Linked DNA regions of Oryctolagus cuniculus. The protein of the gene in region 1 interacts with the protein of each later gene in a pairwise test. Links are inferred from orthologs where the notes say so. Each region holds a gene or a part of one and is shown in the gene's direction. Other genes may lie near its edges.

Region 1 (4,014 bases):
ATACAGAACACAGTCCAGCAATCCCTGCCCCGTAACTGTGGTGGCCACAGCAACAGCATTGAGCTTAGAGAGGAATCGAGGAAATTCTACCTGAAGTCCAGAACCCCAACCCAAAATGTGTCATCTCTCTGGCTGAAAGAAGCTCCTGTGACTAAATAAAAATGAGGGGACTTCCCTCCCCCCCACTCTCTCTTTCTCTCACACACACACACACACACACACACCAAAGGCATCGATCTATTGCCGACCTCTTAAATGTTATCTGCCCAAGGTCAATATTCCTGGCCTGGGTCTGCCCTTAGTGCCCTAATTTGTTTCCTCATTCTCATAGAATCCCCCTCCTAGCAGAGACCAGCAAGCATCCAATCCTTGATCCCTAAGGCTCAACTAATTTTTACCGTTAGCACCAAATCTGCTGACTTTAACCCAAAATGTTGACCCCTAAGTCTAAATTAGCTCACCTGTAACTTGATTCCTAACTCACCTTTTCACTGTTTATCCTTAAAACTGACCACGACAATATCCTATGATCCTTAAAATGGACTTCTAACCTAATTCCTGTTGTTGACCATTAACCTGACCCTGAACTCTTTTAACTCTGACTTACCTCTGGTCATCCCAGGAAACAAAATAACGACCTCAACCTCAACCTCACTTATTTATAAAACGGATCTAAATCACGCCAATAACTCAAGCGTTAACCCCGGCCTTACACCTCCTAAAGAGACCCTTGATTCCCAAACCCAACCCCACCTAAACCCAGACTCATCCACAGCTCTCCAGCCCAACATCCCCGCTATCAGCAAACACCAAAGCCCATCCCCGCCCTGCGCCCCGCGGCCGCCACACTCCTCACCCTTCCCCAAAACCTATTCCAGGCCAAGGACTGCTCCCGCAGAGGAGCCACCTCCCGCAGATCGGCCTGCCGAGACACCCTGGAAGCTGACGTCTCCCCCAGAACCCGCCATAGACGCGCCGCAGTCAGGGGCCGCGCCCGCCCGCCTCCCGGGCCAGACCTCGCGGCCCCACCCCGAGGTTCCGGCCCGGCCCGCCGCGGCCTACCTGCGCTGCCCGGCTCTGCGCCCCGCCCGCCGGCCCTGCTCGTCCTCCGGGCCCGCTCTCCGGCTCCGGCCTCGCCCTCCCTTCGCCACACTCGGCCACTTCCGTCCCCGGCGCGTCCCCCACCCCCGGGCGGCGCCCTGGGCCCGCGCTCTATGGTTTTGGGGACCTGCAGGAAGCTGCTCTGGCCCCAGCTCTCGATGCTCGCGAGCCCGCCGAAGACTGGCAGCCCCTCCCCGGCAGGAAGCCAGGGCGCGGCGCAATCCGGAGAAAACACCCCAGCGGCGCCCGAGTTCCCTGTTACACTCGGACTCTTCCTTTTTTCTAGCTCGGGGCGAAGGCGGAGGCGAGTCGCCGGTGTCCCCGCCCCCGGGGCGGGGACGTCCCCCTCATTTGCATCGCCCCCGGGACGTGGCGCAGCACCCGAGCCACTTCCGGCTCGGAGGGAACTACAAGTCCCGAGAGGCCGCGGGGCCGCGTGCGTCACTTGTGCTGTGTTGGAGGCCGAGGGCGACGGAGTCCGGCGGGTGGGTGGGTCGGGCTTGACAGCGACTGCCGCCCCGGCAGCGGGGAAGGCCAGCCGAAGAGGAGCGGTGGGTAGGCGGGAGAGACCCGGCGGTTGGGCTGGGGGTCGTGCCTGGGGCTCGCGTATTGGAACCGGGCTGCGAAGTGAACCCTTGAGTTTCTGCCGTAGATGTCGCAGATGGAGCTGGCGTTGGACCCTGGCGATCAGGACCTGCTCGGCTTCCTGCTCGAGCAGAGCGGAGCATGGGGGGAGGCAGCCGATGAGTCGGTGGAGGCGCCCCCGGATTGGGAGCTGCCGCTTTCCGAGGTGGGTGGGTAGGGCTCCGCGTCAGGGAGGCGCGGCACGTCCGCGAGACCCGGGTGTCAGTGACAGGCCAGGGCCTGGGAATTTGAACCCGGTGCAGGTACTGAGCGACTGGGAGGCAGAGGATCTGCTGAGCACCCTGCTGAGTCCCCCGGCGTCGTTGGCCGACCTCAGCTCCTGCGAGCCCTCGCCTGTGCACCACGATCACACTTACTCCCTCCCACAGGAGCATGTCTCCGTGGACGTAGGTGAGTGACATCAGAAAAGTTGGGAGCTAGAGGAGAGGGTCCGTGGGCCCGGCTAGTCACAATTGCCCTTTTGCAGATAGTGGGAGCTATGGGAAGGAGGAGGCTCCGATGACTCCGCTGTATGTGGAGGAGCCAACAGAGCAGGTAGCTGACTTGATTTTCAGGAGGCTTATCCCCACATTGCACGGGGCGGGGCGGGGCGGGAATTCCCATTTCTTTCGGACATCCCCATGCAACTGCTGCCTACTTCCCCGTAACCTCAGGAGGTTGCTAGGCTGGTACTGACCGAGGAGGAGAAGAGGCTACTGGAGAAGGAGGGGCTTACTCTGCCTGGAACGCTTCCTCTCACCAAGGTAAGGCTCCCATTGGTGGGGCAAAGGCTGGAGGGTGTAGGGGAGGGAGAGTGCAGAGAGGCTGGTCGACCTGTACCGGAATGCAGTCAGATAGGAGTCACTTCTAACGTTATGCTTGGTAGCAGCTGCATTTCAAAATAGCTAGCAGAGAGGATATTCAGTTTCTGATTCAAAGAAATGATAAATGTCTGCAGTGATACATGTGCCAGTTACCCTGCCCTACTTATTTTTACATTGTATACATTACTTAAATGTCACTCTGTATCCTATAGATGTGTGTAATATCAGTGTCAAAAATAAGATACACTTAAGAGGTGAACATCTTAGCAGAGTTGTTGGTTAATATGCTAGATGCAAGGGTGGATCCTGGTTTTGTGAGGCTTCTAACACATTTTGGTGTTCTAAGAAAAAAGATTTCAGAATTATCAATGCAACATTAGCGTAGGGCCTTGGGCAGGACTGTGCAAGGGAAGGGCTCTGCCACTTGGAGTTCATCGGCTTGGTGGTAATCTACATCGCGCTGAATGGGAGAATTGTTTTAGGGAGTTCAATGAGGCTGGATTAAGCCTTCTTTTTTTTTTTTTTTTTTTTTTTGACAGGCAGAATGGACAGTGAAAGAGAGAGACAGAGAGAAAGGTCTTCCTTTTGCTGTTGGTTCACCCTCCAATGGCTGCTGGGGCTGGTGCACTGCGCTGATCTGAAGCCAGGAGCCAGGTGCTTCTCCTGGTCTCCCATGGGGTGCAGGGCCCAAGCACTTGGGCCAGCCTCCACTGCAGAGAGCTGCAGGCCATAGCAGAGAGCTGGCCTGGAAGAGGGGCAACCGGGACAGAATCCGGCGCCCCGACTGGGACTAGAACCCGGCGTGCCGGCGCCGCAAGGTGGAGGATTAGCCTAGTGAGCCACGGCGCCGGCCTGGACTAAGCCTTCTAACAGTACAAATGTAGAAGCATAAGTTTTAAGTTTCAACACTGGGTGGTGACTTCACAAGCACAGTATTGTGACCCTGTAATAAAATAAGTACTTATTAAAGAAATTTTAACTTCTTAAAAGTACAAGATGAGTCAGCAGTGAGATATGGCAAAGCAAGTGGGATGTGGAAGCAGCGTCAATACATGCATTGTCTCTAAAAAGGCAAGACTGTCTTGCTGTCTTTTGTACAAATCACAGTGCATTTTAAGTGCCCAGTTTTGGGCCTGTATCTTTGACAGATACCAAGAGGATGCAGTGATGGTGAAATGTTGGGTTAAGAAGTCTGTCCAGGGTTTTTTTGTGTGTGTGTTTTTTTAAACTCTGAGGAAATGCCAACAGCCTTAAAACAGCTATGTAGAATTTTGTTCTACACGACCCCAGAGATAAGTTCAATGGATAGAAATTACATGGAGGCAGATGTTAATTCAGGGTAAGAAATTTTTCAGTGAATGAAATTGTTAAAAATGCTCTGGCACCTGTGATCTTAACACCTGGTCTTTAGAGGCATTCTGATGGAAACCAAAATGGCTACTGGTTAGGGAGGCTAGACAAGGGA
Region 2 (4,132 bases), on another chromosome or scaffold:
GGAAATACTACCAATTAAATAATAATAATAATAGACAAGATCCTTCCATTTCTTCCTAAGCGGTCATTTAGAGTAAGCCACACTACACAAAGGAGGTCTGTCTGTGCACATGAACCCGGATCGCACAAAATCATTTCCGTTAACACCTAACATAAGCTCTGCAGCTGGAATCCTGTCTCCATCTCCCATCCGGGGAAAACTGGACCAGGGCAAGCTGCCGCCCCTGGAATCCCGTCTCCACCTCCCATCCAGGCTCCATCTCCCATCCGGGGACAACTGGACCAGGGCGAGCTGCCGCCCCTGGAATCCCGTCTCCATCTCCCATCCGGGGACAACTGGACCAGGGCAAGCTGCCGCCCCTGGAATCCCGTCTCCACCTCCCATCCGGGGACAACTGGACCAGGGCGAGCTGCCGCCCCCGGAATCCCGTCTCCACCTCCCATCCGGGGACAACTGGACCAGGGGGAGCTGCCGCCGCTCCGTCTTGGCCTCTCACTTGGACAGAAGAGTACTAGCAGAATTTTCTACAGAGCAGCGCACCAGAGAAGGCAGGTCTGGAAGTCCGCTGCTCTAGCCCGGACCTGCCAAGGAACTCCGGGATTATACAATACACCTCCTCTTAGGGAATTCAATCACAGCGACAACCAACAACTCTCGCTAAGATTTACTTAGAACGCAGAGGGACACACCAAAGCACGCCGGGATATTATTTCCCACCCCCCCCAGTAGTCCCCCCACCCACCCCCCGAGTAGTCCTGACCCCCGCATGCACAACACAAGCTGGGCCCACCCCCAAACTTTGAACGCCACCTGGGGGAACAGGCGCGACCACGCCCACTTCCAATGCTCAGGTAAGATCCCGAGGCCGGCTTTCCTTGGGGGCAGAAAGAGCGTCAGCTCACGAACCAGACTCCCGCCCCCCGCCCGCTAAGCAATGCCCCGCAGAGGGGGCGACTTGCAGCTTCCCGACCCCCGACGGCTCCTCTCACTTGCGAACGTATTTCCGGGCTTCATTCTCGTCGTAAAACTGCGAGAAAGAGAAAAAGGCAAGTCGAGGCAGGAAGGCACACGCGGGGGGTCCTCGAAAAGCCGAGAGGAGCGCCCGCGGGCCACAGGCCTTACCAGCTCGGCGGGGCCGCAATGCTCCGGTCTGCCGCCGCGAGACGCCATCCTCGCGTCTCTGGAACACGCCGGCTACTGGCGACTCCGGGCGCCGGCTCTTACGTCATCAGTCCCGCGACCGGCTCGTGACGCACATGTTCCACCCCCTTTCCCCGCCTCCCTATTCAAGTGATTGGCTACGGGGCCCACGCCTGCCAATTCCTTGCGCTTCCCATTGGCCGGTCCGTCTCCCAGCGGTCGCCGGCTCCGTTCAAGATGGCAGCCGCGCACAGTCCGCGGTGGTCGCGGCTGCTACTCTGGCGACTGTGGCGGACCTGGGAATTCGCTCCCAGTTCGGCGTCGAGTGTGGGCCTGCGAGCAAGAACCTATTCTCGGGGCGACGGCCCGTACTCGCGCACTGCGCTCTACGAGCTGCTCGGCGTCCCCCCCACGGCCACGCAGGCTCAGATCAAGGCGGCCTACTACCGGCAGAGCTTCCTCTACCACCCCGACCGCAACTCCGGCAGCGCCGAGGCTGCCGAGCGCTTCACGCGCATCTCCCAGGCCTACTTGGTGCTGGGCAGTACCACACTCCGTCGCAAATACGACCGCGGGCTGCTGAGCGACGAGGACCTGCGCGGCCCCGGCGCCCGGCCCTCCAGGACGCCCGCGGCCGACCCCAGCCCGCCCCGGCCCCCGCCGGCCGCCTCTCGGGCCCCGCACGGGGGTCGGGCAGCCCCTGGGGGTGCCGAGCGCACCATGTTCGACTTCGACGCCTTCTACCGGGCACACTACGGGGAGCAGCTGGAGCGCGAACGGCGCTTGCGGGCCCGGCGGGAGGCCCTTCGCAAACAGCAGGAGGATCGCGCCACCAAGGGCTTCAAGTGGGATGAGGTCCGGGACACGACCTTCATTTTCCTCTTCCTTTTAGTCTTCATCATCGTCGGCTTTCGGATCTGAGCGGAGAGAGGCGGGAGGAGCCGCGGCTCAGCCGGTCCCGGGACAGCGGCCCTGCTGGCCCTCGGAACTTTTGACCTTCCCTAGTCTACCTCGGCTTGGGGTCCCAGGAGCTGAACTCCCTCTGCCCTCCCCACCCGCCCAGCTACGTCCCTCCCCGAGGGTCCAAGAAAGAGCCCCCTCCCCCCAAGATGGAGATTCTCGGAAGTCCGGAGTGCAGGGTTTCCCCGGGTCCCTTGAGTGCCTGCTTCCCTCGGATGTTGTCAGCGACTGGACCACTTGCTCTGGCTTTATTGTGAGGCCCCAAGCAGGACTTATCTGCCCCCCACCGAGCCGCGTGGGGGCTTCTCTGTAACCTTGAAAAGTGCAATACGCCCAAGCACTGGCTGCCAAAAAAAATTCTGGGGTCGTCCGAGAACCTGTCTCTCTCTGTGAGTTCCCCAAGCCGCAGGTGGGAGTTCGGGCAGCCCCCAGGCCACTTCCCCCTCGGAGGGTGGGACACCCAGATCCCAGAGCGGAAGCACCAGTGTTCCTGTCTGTGTCCATTTAACTTGGAGGAGCTGCTCAGGGCCGTGACCGCAGAGGAGTGAGTGACTTGCTGTTTTGAAGTCTGTCCCGTTTATGGCCGGTAATTCTATGGTGATGCTGGTAGGGCCAAGGTCATCCTCGGGACAGTGTGCCTGTCAGCTGGTCATCCTGTTCCCAGGCCATCCTCCCCTCCCAGACAAGGGTCACATTCAGCTAAGAGTTCCCCGAGGGTGGCCCCTGCCCCTGTGTAGCTCGCAGTGCTCATCACAGCCCTCCCCCAAGTCCTGGAAGCAAGGGTGCTGGAGCGGAGGGAACTGAAGTGGGCCGGGCTGCTGAGCAGGGTGGCCGGGCCCAGAGAGACAGGCCGAGGCAGGGGCCCAGAGCTGCAGCTGGGAGGCTCCTGGGCCTGGGGCAGTGGGGCTGGCCATGGGGTTGCAGGTGCTCAGGGGGCTGCACTGGGGCCCAGTGGAAGGCTGGAGCAGAGCAGGACTCTTGCCAGGGGTCCAGAGCAAGAGGGAGGGCCCGAGTCCAAGGTCTGAACAGAATCGGAGGTGCCTGGGTGTATTAGCAATTCCTGTACCCATGGTGTCTGATCCTCGGGATAAACCCACACATAGTCCAGGTGGGGGCTGGGCTCCGACATCCCTGTGGGGCGGCCACAGAATGGGCCCACCCTGGTTTACTGTCCTGGCTCCGTGAGCCTTGATGTCGGGGGTGGGGGTGTGTACTTTTGGAAAGAATGTCGACTGTTGGTATGTTTCATATTTGGAAAGCAAGAGGGGCCATTTGTTGAAAAACAGGCCGAGGGGGATGGGAGAACGGAGCCCTGCAGACAAACCTGGCAGGAGCCGTGGATGGCTGACCAAGGGGGGGGGACTACTCGAGCCTCAGGGCTTTGGTTCTTTGTGGGTTCGTGGAGGTACATGGGCCCCTTGGCGTAGACCTCCCAAGTTTGTTTATGCTCCGTGAAGCCCACAGCTCTGGAAGTTCTGTCCTGGGACCTAAAAAGTTACAGGTCTGGGATCACACTAAGCTTAGGGAACCTCCCTAGCCCGCCTGCAGCTCCAGGCAGGGTAGCCTGGAAGGCTCCTCCCCGTGCAGAAACAGCCCCACGCTCTGCCTGCCTCGGGCGGGGAGGGTGGGCTCTTTATGAAGCACACCCCCACCCCGGCTGCTCCCCTGGCTGACATTTCTGCCCCATGCCCCTCGCAGGGCCCCCGGGATTTTGGTCTGCTTCCACCTGCCCTGTCCAGGGGTGGCTGCACTAGGCCGTTGGGCATCAGCCTCTGCCTTCTAGGGTTGATTCCCGGATTCCCGATGGCAGACACGGAGGCCTAGCCGTGCTCCTTTTTTCTTCTGGTCACAAATAAAAAGCAAAACTTCCCAAGAATTTGGATCTGGATTGGGAGACTAGGGCGAGAGGGACCTGCGCAGGAGCCCCGGAACCAGCTGGGAGAATGTGTTCCTGCTCGCTTCCTCCGGCGTCTGGCACCTCGTGCCCTGGGTGCACCTTTGGCCCCTGCAGCCGTCCCAGTGTCAGCCAAGG
Region 3 (3,380 bases), on another chromosome or scaffold:
TCCACGTGGTACCTTGCAGAACAGGCCTGGTGTGAAGAATCAGCCAGATCCTCCAGGCAGAAGTTATCAGGGTTATAGGTGCTGGGCTCCTCCCCAGGGCCACCACTGGCCACCACGTGCCTGCAGGACCCCACTGGGCACTGCAGGCTGAGGCTTACAGGCTGCCCCGTGGTATCCCAGCCTGATACCTTGAGTCTTGCAAAGCTTGCAGCACTGTGTTCCTCGTCACGTCTGGACGTAAACGGCTGTGTTAGTCCAAACCAGAAAGAATGCATGGTGTGCAGACTGCTGTTTGAGGTCAATTTGAGTTTAAAAGTAGTGAAAAGATGATGTAAATGAGTATACTTAAGGAGACACTAGGATGTGATAGAAGGACGACGAGCCTTCCAGAGGTTGGTGTGGTGGTGTGCGGCACCTGGCACTGTAACTGCAGTTCTGGGTACCCAGCCTGAGGGACAATCAGACTGCAACCAGCGCTCGGACACTCAATTTCACTGTCTCTTAGAATAGAGTGGAAACGACCCGATCACAGTTCAGTGCATCATTCTATGTTGTACATATGTTGCCATTCGTCCTTTTTAATATGTAACAGCTTTGAAAAACATTTACAATACTCAGTAGAAAAAAATTTATACTGGCACATACAAAACAATATTGGTAAAGCAGTAACAGTAACAGTGGTGAGACAACAAATTATATTTCAAGATTTATGTGAAAGAGCTAGAGAGAGGTCTTCCATCCACTGGTTCACACCACAATGGCTGGGGGCCCTGGTTTCTCAGACCATTAGCAGGGAGCTGGATCGGAAGTGGAGCAGCCAGGCTGTGAACCAGGCCGATGGGGGATGTTGGCACTGCAGGCAGCAGCCTAACCCAGTACGCCACAGTACGCCATAATTTTTCTTCTAAAATCATTTTCTGGGGTGGGTGTTGGGCGCAGTGATTCAAATGCCACTGGGGACCTCCTCTGAGTACACAGGTTCAAGTCCTGGCTCCACTTCCGATTCCAGCTTCCTGCTGACGCACACCTGTGAGCAGCAGGTGACGGCTCAAGGCTTTAGCCTAACCCAGCCCCAGCCGCTGCAGCCATCTGGGGAACTGAACCAGCAGAGGGGAGATCTAAGTCTATCTTTCACATAAAAAAAAATCTTTAATGTGTTCATTTAGGACAACTTTTAAAATGCAGTTTTGTCAATTCGCAAAAAATGAGTTCTGCAGGCCGGGGGTCCTGGCGCTGCTGCTCAGCTCAGTCTCCCCTCGGAATGAGCCCCAGAGCTCCCGTGGCAGGCCAGGCCCTGGCCCAACAGCAGGTTTGCACAGCTCCCCAGGGGGCTGCGGGGGACGATGCTGCAGGATTTTATGCGGGGCTGGGACTCACCGGTGTGCCTTCCCCGCAGGTCCCGCCGTGCGGAGCAGGCGCGATGGCCGGGCCCGGGCCCCGCTGGGGCAGGCACGTGGCGTTCCTGAGCATCCTCCTGCTGGTGGCTGGGGTCATCTCCCTGCTGTTTGACGCCCTCCTCTGCAGAGCCGGCAACGTCGTGGACCTGCCGCACTTGAGACTTGGCTTCTACAACTTCTGCCTGTGGGACGAGGACCTCGGCGCCCTGCTCTGTCACCAGTTCCCCGAGCTGGAGGCCCTCGGGGTGCCGCGGCTGGGCCTGGCTCTGGCCAGGCTCGGTGTCTACGGGGCCCTGGTCCTCACCCTCTTCGTCCCCCTGCCTCTGCTCCTGGCCTGGTGTAATAGGAGCGAGGGGGAGTGGCGGCTGGCGGTGGGCTTCCTGGCCGCGGCCTCCGTGCTGCTGGCCGGCGGCCTGGGCCTCTTCCTCTCCCTCGTGTGGAAGTGGCTCAGGCTCTCTCTGCTGGGCCCGGCCTTTCTAGCTCTGGGCACGGCCCAGGCCTTCCTCCTGCTCTTGCTCATGGCCACCGCTGTGTTCTCTCCGAGGGCTCAGGACGGGAGCAAGCCGGAGAGCTGCTGTTAGCGCAGTGCAAGGGTTCGGTCCCGGAGAGGCTCGGGGCCATCTCTTCAGAGCCAATGCCCAGCTCCCACGGGAGCTAAGGAGCCCACTGGCGAGCAGGGGGCGCCCCCGCAGCTTCTTAGCATAGGGCGATGTCTCCTTTAGGACCGCAATGGCTGCCGTGGACATCCGGAACCACCGCCTCGCTGTCACGCGGGTCCCCGCTTTCCTTGCCCGGTTTAGTTCTAACTGGAGGGATTCCTGGCCCAGGGCCGCAGTTCCTGACGGATCTCAGTGGAGGTTGGGACGAGGACGTCGGCTCCCTGCGGGGTCACCAGTTCCCAGGGCTGTGCCGAGTCGCCCGGGAACGACTGCACAGGGTACATGAAGAGAAGGCCCGGGGTTGCCCTCGAAGGCCCCTGGGTAGCCTGGAGCAGGAGGCGGCTGGCCAGTCGCTCCCGGGGCGGGATCCAGGAGACAAACGCTTGGTAAGAAGAGGCCAACAGGTCGGAACGGTTCTACCCCCGACAGACACGGCGGCTCCGGCAGCACGCGTCACGCCCGGAGGAGTTCTGTGTTTTCCAGCATCTGTGTATCGGGACACCTGTAAGGCACGGCTATGTTCAGTCTGGGTCAAAGCCTCGCTGAACACAGAGGTAGCAGGAAGGACTGTGGTGCGAGGACATCTCCTCCGTGGCGGGGTCTTGCCCTCCCGGCCGGGCTGGTGTGCCAGTGGGCCGCCGGCTGCAGGAGAGCTTGGGGCCTGCTCACCGCGTGCTGGAAGCCACCTGACACAGGCTCCGTTCCACCAGTCCCTGTGCACGGAGTGGCAGCACCACTCTCTTAAACCCTCAGGTTGCCCCCCCCACCCCGGGGCCTCATTTTCCCAGGAAAGCTGGTAACTGAATAAAACAATTGGAAAACAATTGGAATTCCAGAACAGGGAGAGCTGTTGTGCAGGGAACAATGGGGTTCGACTCCCCAGTCCCCCCAACCCTTAAAACAGGGCTTCTGGCCTGGGGCGGGTCTGGCAGGACCAAGGAGGCCCAGAGCCGCGGAGGCAGGGGGCCAGGGCAGCGCTGAGAACCTCAGCTGAAAAATATCTCCCTGACGTATTTTAGCACGTCTTCCTCTTCCTCCTTCTCTTCCTCCTCCGGCCTCCTGCCGCCAGCGGTGTTGGGAGGGCTGAGGCCTGGCACGGGGGCGTCGTCCTCTCCCTCCTCTTCCTCGCTGCTGCTCCCTGAGCTCGTGTGAGGAGACGGGGAGGGGGAGCCCTCCGGCTTATCGGCGCCCAGCAGGGACGGCAGCTCCCCAGCCTTTTCCTGTTTGCCGTCCTACAGAGTAGAGAGAGGGCGGGCGCGGCGTGTGCATCTCCTCTCCCTAACATCCGGGCTTGGCCGGGACTCGGGACCCAGCCTGAGGCCGC
Region 4 (3,190 bases), on another chromosome or scaffold:
TCATCACGCTGCACTTCGTGCTGCACGGCCAGCACCACAAGGTGGGTGTGGCCGTGGGGTGGGACATCGGCAAACCCGAGGCATCGGAGGCTGCACAGGGGGGAGACGGGCCCAGGCATCCTAATCTGAGCAAGACGGGACAGTGAGTGAGTGAGTATGTGTGTGCACATGTGTGCATAAGCATGCATGTAAATGCTGTGCGTGTGTGTACATATGTGTGCACGTGTGCCTCTGCGTCACCCTCCATGAGCCTCGTGAATCTGCACAGCTCATTCACTCATTCATTCTGCAAGTGTTCTGAGGCTGAATGCCTACCATGTGCCAAGCATCAGTGACCCAAGCAGGCGAAGCACCTGCAGTTTTCCCCAATTCCACAGAGCAGGAAGTAGGCCAGGGGGAATTAATGTACTAAGGGACTCACCCAGGGTCAGGCAGGCACAACCAGCACGCTGTCCCCCACCATGTGGCTGCTCTCACCAGCACCCGCTGGCCCTGGGAGTATCAGCCCAGAGGTGGGACTGGAAGCCAGGTCGGCCCCAGGGAGCTACCTCCCCCTGGCAGCTTTGCTGTGCCTGCACAGTGCTGTCCTCGGCCTGGCCCAGGGGCCCCTTCGCCGCCATCTCCTCCAAGGCAGGGCCTTCCCCCACTTTCTCTTCTCTGCTGGGGTGGGCTGCCCTCCTGTTCTTCCCAGTGCTGAGCTGTGTTCTGGGAGTCTCACGTGGCAGCCTGTATCTGGGTGAACATCCAGTCCTGGGCCAGCCTGGCTCTAAGAGGTGCCACGGCCAGTGTCCTCTTTCTAGGCTGACGCCAGCCCATCGGGCCTCTGCTGTCCAGGCCCTGTCCCTCACCCCCCTCACGACATCTCAGATCTATCGCTCCCTATTGGTCAACTTTCCCATCTTCAGGGGACAAACGGACCCTCTGGGGGCTGGAGGGACTGTCTCGGGCTCTCTCTTCCAAGACATTTCCACCTCAGTACACGCAGTCCCGTCATGGCACAGCACAAGGACAGGAGGAGCTTGTGTGGCCCACCGCCACCTCCTCAGATACCCAAGCCTTTGTGTCTAGGGGTCTGTGGCCTGGGCTCATGCCTAATTTGACCCTGGCCACGTCAGGAGTGTTTACACTGCAGGAATCGGCAAACGCTGCTGACCTGGGCGCCCTCATCCTCCCTCCTGCTTTTTATCCCTTCTGCCCCCAGCCTGCCTGCCTTTGTCTGAGCACTGCTTCCCTGCACAGCACTGGCCCTGTTGCCATGGTTTGAGGAAGGGAGGCCCACACCTGCGGATCTCTGTTGGCAACACCTGCTTTGTCCCTGCACAGAGGGCCTTGTGTGGGGAGGTGGCGGTGCAAACCACATCTCTGCACAACACTTCCGGGAACACCCTCCCAGATCGCAGGCCTCAGGCTAGGCCCCCTGTCTCCAGAAAGCCCCTTGAGCCTTCCTGTCTGGCACCAGGGCCCACGTGGTCCCTTGAGTTCCAGGTGGGCCCTGAGCCATCAGCACACCTGCATCCGCTCCCTCCCACGTCACACCTGGCCCTGTGTTCCTGGATCGGGCAATCTCTCCAGGGCTTTGGACTTGGGTGGCCTGCCCTTCCCAAAGCCACCAAACACGCCAGGCCCACCCAAGACAGGTCCCTGTCCCCTCACTGGAAACATTCGGGCTGCTCCACGCTCATCTTGGGGAGCGTCTCCAGTGAGGCACGCTGCGACCCCGAGCCAGCGCCACCTCTGACACTCGGGCCTCTCCATCCACAGGCACCCTTCGACGGCTCCCGCCTGGTCTTTCCCCCCGTGCCGGCCTCTCTGGTGATCGCCTTTTTCTACGTGTTGTTGCGGCTCATCCTGCCCGAGGCGGTGGGGGGCACGATGTTCGCTGGGGGCCTCCTGGGCTATGTCCTCTACGACATGACCCATTACTACCTGCACTTTGGCTCGCCGAACAAGGGCTCCTACCTGTACAGCATGAAGGCGCACCACGTCAAGCACCACTTTGCACATCAGAAGTCAGGTGAGACAGGCTGGAGCCTCCCCGCCTCCCCTGTTGGCCCGGGATCGACTGGACAACAGCTGTTGAATCCCTGCGAAGGGCCAGGCGTTGTCTTCGGTGCTGGGGCACACACAGAGCTTCCTCCATCCTGCTCACGGGTGCAGGTGGCTGTGCAGAGACAGACAAGGAACAGAAATGCCATTAAAGGAAAATAAAGCAAGGTGATACTTGAGTAACCCTGGGTGGGGGGAGGGGGCCCAGCACTGCCCATTAAAATGCAGTCATGCACCACACAACAAGATTGTGGTGGTCAGCCGTGGACCCTGGATACAGCAGTGGTCGTGTAGGACTATAGCACTTCATCTCATTACAGCTGCCTTAGTTTGTGTAAGTACACCGATGTTCTCACCATGATGGAACTGCCCAGCAAGACATTTCTCAAAACACATCCCCACCAAGTGACAGGTGATAGCTGTACTATGCAGGCCGCATAGATGATTTTAAACTTTCTAGTGGCCACATTAAAAGTAAAAAACAAACAGGCATTTGGCTTTGCAGTTAAGCCACTGGTTAGGATGCCCACATCCCACCTGAGAGTACCTGGGTTTAACACGCAACTCCAGCTCTGACTCCACATTTGTGTTAATGCAGCTCCTAGCAGGCAGCAGTGATGGTTCAAGTAATTGGGTTCCTGCCACCCATGTGGGAGACCTGGATTGAGTTCCCAGCTTCTGACCTAGGCTCTGACCCAGCCCCAACTGTTGCAATCATTTGGGGAATGAATTGGTAAATAGACTATCTCTCTGTGTCTGTCTCTCTCTCTTCCTCTCAAATAAATAAATAACTTTATAGTAAAAAGATAGAACTGAAAATCATTTTTTTAATTTATGGGGCAGAGAGCTCCCTTCTGCTAATCCATTCCTCAAATGCCCACAATAGATGGGGCTGGGCCAGAGCCAAAGCTAGAAGCCAGACTTCCCATGTGGGCACCAGGGACTCAATTATTTGAGCCATGACTTCTGCCTCCCAGGGTCTGCACTAACAGGGAGCTGGAACAGGAGCCTGGAATGAAAACCACACACTGCTATAGAACATGGGACTTAAAAAAATGTATTTATTTATTTGAGAGGCAGAGTTACAGACAGAGAAAGAGATTTTCCATCTGCTGGTTCACTCCCCAAATGGCCACAGAGGCCA
Region 5 (4,087 bases), on another chromosome or scaffold:
CTGTGGATATAATAGGTATCCTCATACTAACTTCCACCACATTGTTTGAAACCTGGGTGAGCTCAAACCCAAGACTCAGTCTCTTTCCCCTGTCTTAAGTTGCGAGAACAGCCCCTCTAAGAAACATGCTTAATTTGCGAGCAGTTGAGACTTCTGACTACAGGGAAACGTCATGCAGGATCTTGGAAAGAATTTTCAGAGAATTTACCTAGAAATGAGAAAGTCACCAAAAAAATGGAGATAATGAAAGATGTAAGCCCCAAATCAATCAGGAAATGAAAAGGATTTTGGAAGAGAGAAAGTGTGGAAATTCACAAGTGCCAGTTTTGTCATTCTTGCCCTCCAGGATCTAAACCATTAAGAGATAACCCCAAGACCCATATATGAGTGGGAAAGGATTGTATTAGCTTCATTACCGACTAGATAGGGGGCCCTACAGTTCCACTAGAAAAAGAATACCTGGGGCCGGCGCTGCGGCTCACTAGGCTAATCCTCCACCTGCGGCACCAGCACACTGGGTTCTAGTCCCGGTCGGGGCGCCGGATTCTGTCCCAGTTGCCCCTCTTCCAGGCCAGCTCTCTGCTGTGGCCAGGGAGTGCAGTGGAGGATGGCCCCAGTGCTTGGGCCCTGCACCCCATGGGAGACCAGGATAAGTACCTGGCTCCTGGCTTCGGATCAGCATGATGCGCCGGCTGCAGCAGCCTTTGGAGGGTGAACCAACGGCAAAAGGAAGACCTTTCTCTCTGTCTCTCTCTCTTACTGTCCACTCTGCCTGTCAAAAAAAAAAAAAAAAAAAAAAGAAAAAATACCTGGGATCTGTGGGCAAAACTGGACTTCTTACTATGGTCCCTCAAATCTAGACCTTGAAAATGTACCTTAGGAGAGAGGTCTTGAGGCACATACTTGGCCAGCCAGAATCATAATGCCCTATCCCATATACCACCAAAGAAGGAGAAAGCCAAAGATCAGTGATCTGTCAGGCCATGTCTTGAAGACCACTCCTGCCCCTTGGCTGGCTGTGCTTGCCTCCTAAACAAAGAGCAGGTATACAGATACTCTTCTGGAAGACAAAGAGAAGTTGAATTTTATCTTGGTTCTGCAGCTTAGTCTAAGCAAATCAAATAAGAAGAACCAAAGGGTCCCCTTTTCCTTTCCATTAGTGTATGCAGCGTGCCTCAGCCATTTAAAAACTTTTAATCCAGTGTAACATGAAATAGCTAGAAGACTTTTTTCCTTGAATAAGTGACATTTTAAACTTTTAATTTCTGTATTCTTTTGACATTAAGCATCTTCTGTAAAAATGAATTGAGCTCAGATATGCACAATTTTATTAGGTTAGGAAAGTGATTCTAGCATTGCTCTGTTTCATAGGTTGTAGGCCATAAAGAAGGTCTGGATGTTATGGAGAGAGCTGATCCTTTATTCCTTTTGATCGGACTTCCTACTATTCCTGTCATGCTGATATTAGGCAAGATGATTCGCTGGGAGGACTACGTGCTTAGGCTATGGCGTAAATACTCAAATAAACTACAGATTTTGAACAGTATATTTCCAGGTAAGGCCCTGAATTGTGTTTCTAAAATACATGTCAAATTGATCTTGTGGCAGAACCATAACATGGCTTTAGAAATTTCTAAGGATATTTTTCTTCTTCTTCTAGGGATTGGGTGTCCTGTTCCTCGAATTCCAGCTGAGGCTAATCCTTTAGCAGATCATGTCTCTGCTACCCGAATTTTGTGTGGAGCCCTTGTCTTTCCTACTATTGCTACAATAGTTGGTAAACTGATGTTCAGTAGTGTTAACTCTAATTTGCAAAGGACAATCTTGGTAAGATGGCTTTAATACTACTTATTTTAGGTGAAAGACAAAAGAGAATAAACCATTTGTTTTAAAGGGGAGAGGACTGTATAAGTAGTTGATCTGTGGCTCCTTTGCCTTATAACCCTCACTGTCATCCAGTAGCTTTAGAGGAAATAAAAAGAGGAGGAACCACTGTGCCAGTTCTGACCTTCCAGACTGATGCCATGGGCAGTTTCTCTCCTGGAGTATGCCTGAATCATCACTCATCCCTCTTGCCAACTAGTTTATGACGAAGCATGTCTACTGTAGGGTCAGACTGCTTGCATCAAATCCTAACTCAGAAATCGCCTTGCTGTGAAACCTAAGTCCAACTTCTGGACTTCTCTGTGCCTAGAGAATGGGGATGGTGGGGGTAACTACCTCAGGCTAATTATGAGGATTAAATGAGACCAGTAAGTACTCCGTGTTGTTTGCGGTCGTCATTCCTGCTGCCCCCTCCCCTGTCCTGGCTTCCGCACACAGGGCCCTGGTGTTCCCCTTTGTGTAGCAGAGTGGATAGAGAACTCAGTGAAGGCAGGCCATGCAGGATCCCAAGGAAGCCTTCTTTCTCTGTTACGTATAGTGGTTTCTCTCTCTCTCCCATTCCACCCCTTGATGGAAAAGCAAAACTCTTGCCTTTGCAGTCAGCTGCATTAGTTTGGCATCAGTGCCTATGTCTTTTGTGATTTGAGTAAAATTCTTCATTATGTTTCTCTAAACATACATTCTAATAAGCTAATTTTCCTTTTTCTAGGGTGGAATTGCTTTTGTTGCCATAAAAGGAGCATTTAAGGTTTACTTCAAACAGCAGCAATATTTACGTCAGGCACACCGCAAAATTCTAAATTATCCAGAGCAAGAAGAAGCATAAAACTGTGACTCCTAGTTGTTCTGCAGTCTTCTCATCCTTATGAGTCTGTTGTGTTGTTTTGATTCCATCATTCATGCACTAGTGGAGGCTTGTGATAAGCTGTTGCTCCTCTATTTTTCAGAAATATAATAAAGCACTTAGGGCAGGGAAAATCCTCTCAGTAATTGCAGAATCTAAGGATGTGACTTGTTTGCTTTGCTTTGTATGTGCTGCTTTTATGGCAGTCACCTGAACCATTTTCTGAGCATGGTAAACCTGGGTTTTCTTCAGATTTGCTCCAGACAGAAATGTAAAGATCAAACTGTACAAATATTAAAAAATGCACATGCTGTTTTATTCAAATGCCTCTTTTGTACATGTTCACGTTCAGTGTTTTCTTAGAATCAGCAACTCAGTGAAGGTACTATGAGGATTTTTCTCACTGGCATAATTTGAATACATGCTAAACAGGAGCATATGTTAATATGAGGAAATGTAAATTTAGTTATAAATAACAAGCCAAAAATGTATGTAAACATTCAAATAATTATCTGAACAAGTGGGAGTTTCTTGTGTTTTCTTTAACCCATGTGATGTACTCCAAAATGTGTAGGGTAAAAATTTCCAGGGCTTCCAGATCCCTTTTTCACTATTAAATTTTATTTATGTAACATTGTTATCTCATAGCTCATAATGTAACTTGGACTCATGTAGTCTTGATTACTGTATGTGTGTGGGTGTGAGAGAGAACGAGAGAGAGCAAGCAATCATGTCCTTCCACCTCGGGTAAGGTTTTTAAATCACTATTTCTAGAAATTAGAGCTGCCAGTTTATAGTTTGCGCAGAAGAACGATTTGCAAAAAAGGAATCAATAAAGTTATTTTACTCTCCTCTTTCACTGATTTGGTTCTTCAGACATTTGTTGATCACCTCCTATTTGCCTGGGCACTGTGCACAGTACTGTGGGGCACAGTGGTGAACAAGATAGATCTGGTCCTGCTCTTACATGTAGAGTTACCACATTTTAGCATTGAGTAAAGCAAGGTGAAGCACTGAGCTCTTTGCTTTTAAATCAGTCTGAGGAGATAATTATGCAAATGAGTCTTAGGTAAATACTGAATAAATCAGTTTATTATAAAAAATTATTACTCGTGTGTCTTAGATTTTTAATTGCCTGTATTGATGAGACTAGCACCAGTAAATAATCATTGTTTAATTAGTTTATTCATTTTTTCAAAAGCAGTTACTGAAGCCATTTTCAGTAGAGTGGCCATTTTATGTTCAGTGATCTGAATGGTCTTGCAGGTTTTTTTTTTTTTTTTTTGACAGGCAGAGTGGACAGTGAGAGAGACAGAAAGGTCTTCCTTTGCCGTTGGTTCACCCTCCAATGGCCACGCC
Region 6 (4,143 bases), on another chromosome or scaffold:
TAAACTTGTAAATATTTAGAAATGGTCATTTTATAGGAAAATTGGCAAACTTTTGATAATACGGTAGAACAGATGAATTAATATTTTACTTAATTTATATTGAACATGCAATAACAAATAAAAATCTTTTTCAGTTGTTTGTCATGTTTTTACTTATGAGAATAAAAACCGTAAGAATTAAGCACAAGCTCACTTATAGTCGAAAGAAGACAACACTTCGTCGTTACAGCTTGGCAGTTATTTCTCACGTTAAGGGCCGTTTAGCCCGGAGTTGAGCTGTAATGCTACAATCTGCAGATGACAGTAACCTGGATTGTGTGCTGACTTGACGCCTCGCGCCCATTGCCTGCTTTGCCGACACAGCTGGAGGTCACTTTGTCCTCGTGTTCTGACCGCGGCATGCTGTTGATCTCTGCGCTGTAGCACAGTGCGCTGCCACCGCCACCCTCAGCTCTTGTCATCTCCGTGCTGGGTGTCACCTCCACGCACTGAGAGCTCAGCACTGTTAAAATCAAGCCTCAAATCTACTAGAAATAAGGGCCCGGGAGACACAAGTCACCAACATTATCCTCTCAGCATTCGCGGGCATTAAAATGTGCGTGCGTTTAAACTGGGCTCCCAGGCAAGCGAGAGCGAAGCGTGAAATCAGCGCCAAGGGGCACCTGTGCGCATGCAGTGCAGGAGAGGGCTTTGTCCACCTAGTGGTGGACCAGCTGAGGAAGCCCCGCCATCGGTGGCCCCTAGTTCATGTGCCCAATGAACTAGGCGAGCCCAGCCTAGAGACCAAGAACGCACACTTTGGGGTCCACTGCCCGGGGTTTCATGACCCTAGCCACCTGACATCCCAGTCCGAGGGCAGGCAGGACCCCGGCCCCGCTGTCTTTCCCAGGCTGAAAGCTAACACCTGATGAGGACACTAATTGTGGAAGCCGGGGTAGCACAGCAACGTGCAGACCCCATATCCAATAGATACCAAACCGCTGCGCAACTGGGCAGGAGGAGACGCCAGCTGAAGCAACACGTGACGCCCGAGCCTGCGCGTCCACTGCGCCGAACTACAACTCCCGGCATGCGCTGCGGCGCCGCCCTCACGGGCAGGGCCGTCAAGGAGGCGGCCGAGCTGCCCGACCCGCGGGCCCGTCGGGCCCTTCCGCTGTGACAACTTCCCCCAACAGCGAACCGGATATTCTAAGCGCTCCGGGAATATCGCTCTAACGTGCGGTGCCGCTGTCCCTCAGGACCCGCTCGGCAGCGAAACCCTTCCGACTTTCCATCAGGCTTTCGCGCACGGCGCTCCCATAGCGTTAGGCTGGAGGGCGTGGACGTTCCGGCGCGGGAGGACCCCGCCGCGGCCCCGGAAGCGCCTCGTCCGCGGCGGCGGGGGCGCGGCGGTCGCCGTGATGGCCGTGGGGCTGGGCGGCTGACCGCCGGGCCGGGAGCAAACTCAGAGCCCAGAACCTCGGCGGCCGCGGCCGTAGCTCGGCCTTCGTGATGGCTACCTCCGCCGCCTCCTCGGAGCATTTCGAAAAGTTGCACGAGATCTTCCGGGGCCTCCATGAAGACCTCTTAGGGGTGCCCGGGCGGCTGCTGGGGACGGCAGGGACCGGTGAGGCAGGGGCGGGACAGACCGTGGGCAGTGCAACCCCGTGCGGCCGGGCGCCAGTCTCGCCGCCCCTCATCAGACACGCCTCCCGGGGACCCCCCCCCCCCCCCGTGGCTTCTTAAAATTCGCATTTTGGGTGGGGAGGAGAGGTCTTTAAATCTGTGATCCTGTGTTCTGGGGAATGGGCTTCTTTCGTAGCTCCCTGTGTATTGTTTTACGCATTTAAAGGCCTTATTCTTGGGGGAGGCCCGTCGTTTCTATCAGTCTGGCAGTAGAGGGGGTGGAACGGGCGTTTGCAAAGAGAAGGGGAAAAAGGGGGAAGAAGCTGCGAGGGAGCGCGGAATCTCACGCTCTCAGCTGTGGAGTCGGGGGTACGTGGGGGAGAGCGCGTCAGCCAGGACGTGGAGGGGTCTGATTGTCCACGCCAGACACTTGGACTTGAGGTGGCGAGTCGGGCGAAGCGTTTCGGGCGGCTGGTTAATGCGGATTTTACTTTCGAGAGAGGGTGCTGGTGGCTGGATAGAGGAGCCGCACAAGAGTGAGGGGCCCGGGCTGAGAGCCCTAGTGGCGGGCGTCCGGGTGCGTGGGTTTCTGGGGAGTTCTGCATCCAAGAGCTGGCTCGGAGGCAGGAGCTGACCGGCCGGAGCGGCTGTGGGGAGCGAGGAGCAGCCGCGCAGGGGCCGGCGCGCTCACCTGCAGGCAGCGGAAGCCCACTTGCCCGGGTGTGTGTGTGAGGGCGGCGGGGGCGCCTGTGGAGCGGACATCACGGGGTCGCGTCCGTTGTAGCCTGACGAAATACGTGGTCTGCCGCGGGGAAGAACAGACCGGGGAACTGGGAGGCAGCGGTGAAGCAGGAATCCTAGGGCCGGGGTTCAGATCCACTTCAGCAGTGTGACCGCGGACACGTTTCTTTAACCAAACTAGTGTCCCCTGCAAAATGGGAATAAACTGAACTGTCTGCTTCTAGGGTTTTTGTGAGGAATAAATGCGTGAATCAGGATAACGCCCCTGACGATAGTAGGCAATTTCTTGTCATTAATATGTGGGGAACTGAGTGTTTCGGGCGAGACTACCAGCTCTGTATACTACCTCTCTTAGCTTGCTCTGCGTTTCCCCCAGATCGCTTAGTCTCTAACAGCGTACTAGACACTCCGCATATTTGTGATAGTTACAGTTGTTTGTCTTCTTTCCCCAGAGTAGTTTTTTTTTTTTTTTTTTTTTTTTTTTTTTAATTTATTTGAAAGGCAGAGTTAGAGAGAGAGACAGAGAAAAGTCTTCCATCCGCTGGTTCACTCCCCAATGGCCGCAACAGCCAGAGCTGAGCTGATCCAAAGCCAGGAGTCTCCGGGTCTCTCATGTGGGTGCGGGGGCCCAAGGACTTGGGCCATCTTCTACTGCTTTCCCAGGCCACAGCAGGGAGCTGAATCAGAAGTGGAGCAGCCGGGACTCAAACCCATGCTCATCTGGGATGCGTGGCAGGTGGTGGCTTACTTCACAGTGCTGGTCCCCAGAAACTGTTTTTTGTTTGTTTGTTTGTTTTTTAATATTTATTTATTTGAAAAAGTTACACAGAGAGGAGAGGCAGAGAGAGAGAGAGAGAGAGAGAGAGATGTCTTCCATCCAATGGTTCACTCCCCACTGGCCACGACGGAGCTGCGCTGATCCGAAGCCAGGAGCCAGGAGTTTCTTCCGGGTCTCCCATGTGGGTACAGGGGCCCAAGGACTTGGGCCATCTTCTGCTTTCCCAGGCCATAGCAGAGAGCTGGATTGGAAGTAGAGCAGCCAGGTCTGGAACCGGTGCCCATATGGGATGCTGATGCTTCAGGCCGGGGCATTACCCCACTGTACCACAGCGCTGGCCCCCAGAAACTGTTTTAACAAGCAGTTTGGTTTAACCACCCACCTGGGGATATTTTTTAAATTTACAAAAGAAAAATTGTGTTGTACCCCCCAAGTAGTTACCATATTCTCACTGCATTTCCATTTCCCTATGAACATGTCTTATTACTATATTTGTCAGAATTAAAGAGCTCACACCCAGTTTCCCTTGTTTTTAAACCCAAACTCTTTTTATCCCTTCCAGCACGCCCAGCCTCTAGTAATCAACATTCAGTGTTCAGATTGAGAGGTTTGGTTTGGTTTTGTTGGTTTTTTAAATTTTAGCTCCCACATACAAGGGAGAACAATGCAGTATGTGTCTGTCTGTGTCTGGCCTTACTTCACACAACATGATGTCCTCCGATTCCAACCATTTTGCTACAAATGACAAGATTTCATTCTTTTTTAAAAGTAACACTTCAGTGTATATACATTCCACATTCTCTTCATCCATTCCTCCCATGGTGGACACCTTGGCTGAGTCGTTACTTTGTCTGTTGTGATGAGCACGGTGGAGCAGGCCCGCTGGGTGAGCTCTGAGTCACTATTGAAGTCAGTGCTGTGTTCGTGTGTTATGTATCCTAAGCACTTAGAGTGTCTGGTGCCTCCTGGATGCTCCATAAATAGCTGTTGAACGATTGATTATATAATTGCTGCGAAGA
Region 7 (3,234 bases), on another chromosome or scaffold:
AATAGAAGGCCTTAGCCCGCCAGGCCTCTCTCTCCAAGGTCGCCAAAAGCGTTTGCGTGTATGGGACGCTAGGGGGAGCATCTTGGAGTTTGGACCGCTGAAGCTAACTTCCACCCTGAAACTACAGTGAAACTACAAGCTGGGAGCCCTGTGAATCCTGGGTGGTATCGCTTCCCCAGTTCCCGGAAGGGCCCCTAGAAACTTCTCCGCACAAGATGAGCGCTACTGAAGCACCGCTGTCCCTCGGACGCGGATCCACACCTCCCCTCCAAAGTTGGCCCTCTTGGTGGAGTGTGAGTTTGCGGTAGAGAAGCAGAGTGGTGGCAAACCTATTCCTCCACACGGTTCTGGCAGAGCTATTCCGGCAACAGCTGCCCTCTAATTTTAACCCTTCCCGCATTGAGTCTGCAGGAAGGGGCCTCCAGCCCCCAAGTGCGCTCCACCCCAGGGTTAGGCAAGCCAGTGAAGTGACTTGCAAGCACCATGCACTCCACAGAGCAATGACAGGAGATGGAGTAAGGGCTCTGGTTGCTGCCCCCCCAGCTCCCACACCGCCACCACCGTCTCTCAGGAATGTGCCAGGCGCAAAGGAAATACATTTCGAGGGCAAAAAGGTGAAGACACAAATGCTGCCCATACCGATTCAGTTGATTTCACCCAAATGCTTTGAGCCTCTGGATGAACCTCTGCCCTCCCTCAAATCAGGGCTGGGATAAGGGCCAGGGTCTTGGGAAGGGGGTGGGGGGAGGTGCTGTTGCCCCTGCTTACTCAATATTGACTGACCACAACCTAGCACCGATAAGGTGATCAAATGACCAGGCACCTTCAACCTTTATCCAGGTGGAAACTTTTTACTCACCTCTCTTCCTGCCAGAGCCCTCCAGGTGGTGGGGGAGGGCAGGCACGCACAGGCTATTTTCTGAATTTGCTTTGTTGGGGGTCGGGTATACACATTGATCAGGGCTCTTGTTACACCCCCACCCCCACCCTGTCCCCTTTTACACATTAACTCGGAAAGGGACACAGTCAGTCACAGCTGCCCTCTGCCTCATCCCCCTTTCCCTCAACCCCCATTCCCTACTCCCCTGACCCCGACTGTAACTCCTTTCTTCAGTCCCCAGTTCCCCACTGCCAAGTGGAGGTAAAGGGGAGTGGGGCTTGGCAGAGCAAATCAGCCCAGCATGGACTAAAGTTGCCCAGGGCTGAAGGCTCAGAGTCCAAAGAATGAGGAATCCCGCCTGCTGCTATTAGCAAATCCAAAGACTGCCCAGCTAGCGCCAGTCTCCAAAAGACTGAATCTCAGACAGTAAGGCCTGCACTTCCTGCCTCTCAGCCCATTGCCATGCGGCCCGCGTTCCAGTCTCCTTTCCTCCTCCATTTCTTCAACTTGTTTACTCCAACATGGGCCCTAACCCGCTGGGCCCCTGTGCAGTCTCTGTCACCTGACAGGGTGGGGACACTGCCAGGTATATAGCCCTTGCCCCTCCAGCCAGGCCAGGCACTGACGCCAAGGACGGAGACGTTGACTAAGTAAGGTAAGGGAACGAGAGGTGCAGGCAGCATCCACGGAGCACTGGGCTTTAATTGTGGAAAGGGAGGGAACCAGGGCGGGGCAGGGGGAGGCACTTAGGTAGGGAGATCCTGGGGAAGGGGCTGAGAGCGTGTGGCTTCAGTGTTCCTTCCCTTCTCGGCACTGTCCCCAGACCATCTTGGCACTGTCACCACCATGAAGTTGCTCGCAATGACGGTGCTGCTCCTCACCATCTGCAGCCTTGAAGGTGGGTGTATTGCGGGGAGGGGGCGCCGGCGGGGAGACGGTACCGGGAGTCCTAGCTGCCAAGCTGCCCAGGTCTGGTAACCTGAAGGCTCAGAAGGAAGAGTACTCCCTCTCTGAAGCCCACAAAACCCCTCCAAGGAGCTGGCTGGAAGCCTACTTGGGGAGGGCGCTGAGAGCTGGGGTTGGTAGCAGGAGGCCGCAATTCACTGCCATGGACCCAGCTAAGAGAGTCTATGTGTGTGTGTGTGTGCTTGCACAGGGGCTTTGGTTCGAAGGCAGGCAGAGGAGCAGAGCCTGCAGAGCCTGGTCTCTCAGTACTTGCAGACTGTAACCAACTACAGCAAGGACCTGATGGAAAAGGCCAAGGCCCCCGAGCTTCAGGCCCAGGCCAAGTAAGTCTCTGGGAAAGGGGTTGCGGGGCTGTGCACCGGAGGATGGAAAAAAGGGAAGATGGGAGGTTCCCACAGAGACTGAGCTGAGGGACGCAGGTTAGGGAGAATGAAGCTTAAATTGCAGAGTCGAATTTCTGCATCACTCAAAAGATGCCACATGGCTCCTGGACAGGTAGGGGCAGTGGGAACAGCGCCTGGAAGTTTCATCCCTAGGGTCTATTCCTCTGCCCAGTGGAGGGGCTTTGCCGTCCAGGATGGACCAAGCACTAGGATTTGGGATTAGGGGTTCATCTGCTCTGACTTCCCACCAACAAAATCCCTTCCCTACCCAGGGCCTACTTTGAAAAGACACAGGAGCAGCTGACGCCCTTGGTCAAGAAGGCTGGAACTGATCTATTTAACTTCTTGAGCAATTTCATGGATCTCAAAACACAGCCCGCTGCCCCGTGAGGGGGTCTACACCATTGTCTTCCAACTCCAGCTGGCCTCTTGAGCACCCCTGGGCCAGGCCTGCAGCCCCTCCTTGCCTATCCCTGTTTTCTACAATAAATGGTGGAGGAGTCAACCTGTGAGCATGGTGTGTTTAGCGGACTGTGAGAAGTGGGTAGTGGGGGAGGAGTAAGAGAAAGGAAGAAGAAATCTTCTTGAAAGGACGGAGGACTGGTGCAGAGGTGTGGAGAAAGCACTGGAGAGACAAACAGGGTGAGGGGGCCTGTGATTCTTCTTGGGACCCAAGGAGTCTCCTCCAGGCCTGGGAATGGCTCTGCAGTGGAGTGCTAAAGAACCTTTGCACTGGACATGGAACTATGGAAGGAATGCAGGATTCCTAAGCTGAATCCCTAGAGTTCTAGAGGTCACAAGAAATGAGGGCACTGCAGAATGTCCTCTCCATCATTCTGTGAAGAGCAGAAAGTTTCCAAAAAGTGAACCCAGAGCTATCACCCAAGACCCTCCCCTTCGGAACCAGAAATGCTGTGTTTCCCCCATCCCACAGTAAAGGAGAAGACCTGGGCTCACTCCCCTCCCCCAGGGTGCTCCAGCTCCTCCATTCAAAACCTTTCCTCT

The links.
Region 2: the proteins of CREB3 (region 1) and DNAJC30 interact in a two-hybrid assay, tested with the Homo sapiens proteins (2 studies listed by BioGRID and IntAct). The two-hybrid records come from large-scale screens. The link is inferred for Oryctolagus cuniculus from reciprocal best matches to the Homo sapiens genes CREB3 and DNAJC30.
Region 3: the proteins of CREB3 (region 1) and TMEM140 interact in a two-hybrid assay, tested with the Homo sapiens proteins (2 studies listed by BioGRID and IntAct). The two-hybrid records come from large-scale screens. The link is inferred for Oryctolagus cuniculus from reciprocal best matches to the Homo sapiens genes CREB3 and TMEM140.
Region 4: the proteins of CREB3 (region 1) and FA2H interact in a two-hybrid assay, tested with the Homo sapiens proteins (2 studies listed by BioGRID and IntAct). The two-hybrid records come from large-scale screens. The link is inferred for Oryctolagus cuniculus from reciprocal best matches to the Homo sapiens genes CREB3 and FA2H.
Region 5: the proteins of CREB3 (region 1) and MARCHF5 interact in a two-hybrid assay, tested with the Homo sapiens proteins (2 studies listed by BioGRID and IntAct). The two-hybrid records come from large-scale screens. The link is inferred for Oryctolagus cuniculus from reciprocal best matches to the Homo sapiens genes CREB3 and MARCHF5.
Region 6: the proteins of CREB3 (region 1) and VTI1B interact in a two-hybrid assay, tested with the Homo sapiens proteins (2 studies listed by BioGRID and IntAct). The two-hybrid records come from large-scale screens. The link is inferred for Oryctolagus cuniculus from reciprocal best matches to the Homo sapiens genes CREB3 and VTI1B.
Region 7: the proteins of CREB3 (region 1) and APOA2 interact in a two-hybrid assay, tested with the Homo sapiens proteins (3 studies listed by BioGRID and IntAct). The link is inferred for Oryctolagus cuniculus from reciprocal best matches to the Homo sapiens genes CREB3 and APOA2.

What each region holds. Positions count from the first base shown.
Region 1 is NC_091432.1:198,639,858-198,643,871, forward strand, and holds the start of CREB3 (cyclic AMP-responsive element-binding protein 3), read left to right. Parts: upstream 1-1,214; coding exon 1,215-1,652; exon of another isoform or gene 1,653-1,656; intron 1,657-1,753; coding exon 1,754-1,891; intron 1,892-1,988; coding exon 1,989-2,136; intron 2,137-2,212; coding exon 2,213-2,280; intron 2,281-2,399; coding exon 2,400-2,489; intron 2,490-4,014. UniProt on the Homo sapiens protein: Endoplasmic reticulum (ER)-bound sequence-specific transcription factor that directly binds DNA and activates transcription. Plays a role in the unfolded protein response (UPR), promoting cell survival versus ER stress-induced apoptotic cell death.
Region 2 is NC_091450.1:50,406,568-50,410,699, forward strand, and holds the start of DNAJC30 (dnaJ homolog subfamily C member 30, mitochondrial), read left to right. Parts: upstream 1-1,332; 5' UTR 1,333-1,377; coding exon 1,378-2,061; 3' UTR 2,062-4,132. Other genes in the region: BUD23 (18S rRNA (guanine-N(7))-methyltransferase), read right to left, coding at 990-1,027, 1,123-1,170. UniProt on the Homo sapiens protein: Mitochondrial protein enriched in neurons that acts as a regulator of mitochondrial respiration. Associates with the ATP synthase complex and facilitates ATP synthesis.
Region 3 is NC_091434.1:170,989,123-170,992,502, forward strand, and holds TMEM140 (transmembrane protein 140), read left to right. Parts: upstream 1-1,420; coding exon 1,421-1,978; 3' UTR 1,979-2,285; coding exon of another isoform or gene 2,286-2,558; 3' UTR 2,559-2,880; downstream 2,881-3,380. Other genes in the region: CYREN (cell cycle regulator of non-homologous end joining), read right to left, coding at 2,286-2,558.
Region 4 is NC_091449.1:57,270,406-57,273,595, reverse strand, and holds part of FA2H (fatty acid 2-hydroxylase), read left to right. Parts: coding exon 1-41; intron 42-1,761; coding exon 1,762-2,014; exon of another isoform or gene 2,015-2,161; intron 2,162-3,190. UniProt on the Homo sapiens protein: Catalyzes the hydroxylation of free fatty acids at the C-2 position to produce 2-hydroxy fatty acids, which are building blocks of sphingolipids and glycosphingolipids common in neural tissue and epidermis.
Region 5 is NC_091446.1:38,188,327-38,192,413, reverse strand, and holds the end of MARCHF5 (E3 ubiquitin-protein ligase MARCHF5), read left to right. Parts: intron 1-1,371; coding exon 1,372-1,555; intron 1,556-1,660; coding exon 1,661-1,827; intron 1,828-2,593; coding exon 2,594-2,710; 3' UTR 2,711-3,587; downstream 3,588-4,087. UniProt on the Homo sapiens protein: Mitochondrial E3 ubiquitin-protein ligase that plays a crucial role in the control of mitochondrial morphology by acting as a positive regulator of mitochondrial fission and as an important regulator of immune response.
Region 6 is NC_091451.1:13,562,419-13,566,561, reverse strand, and holds the start of VTI1B (vesicle transport through interaction with t-SNAREs homolog 1B), read left to right. Parts: upstream 1-1,343; 5' UTR 1,344-1,491; coding exon 1,492-1,606; intron 1,607-4,143. UniProt on the Homo sapiens protein: V-SNARE that mediates vesicle transport pathways through interactions with t-SNAREs on the target membrane. These interactions are proposed to mediate aspects of the specificity of vesicle trafficking and to promote fusion of the lipid bilayers.
Region 7 is NC_091438.1:37,576,186-37,579,419, forward strand, and holds APOA2 (apolipoprotein A-II), read left to right. Parts: upstream 1-1,215; 5' UTR 1,216-1,535; intron 1,536-1,703; 5' UTR 1,704-1,726; coding exon 1,727-1,778; intron 1,779-2,036; coding exon 2,037-2,169; intron 2,170-2,501; coding exon 2,502-2,619; 3' UTR 2,620-2,734; downstream 2,735-3,234. UniProt on the Homo sapiens protein: May stabilize HDL (high density lipoprotein) structure by its association with lipids, and affect the HDL metabolism.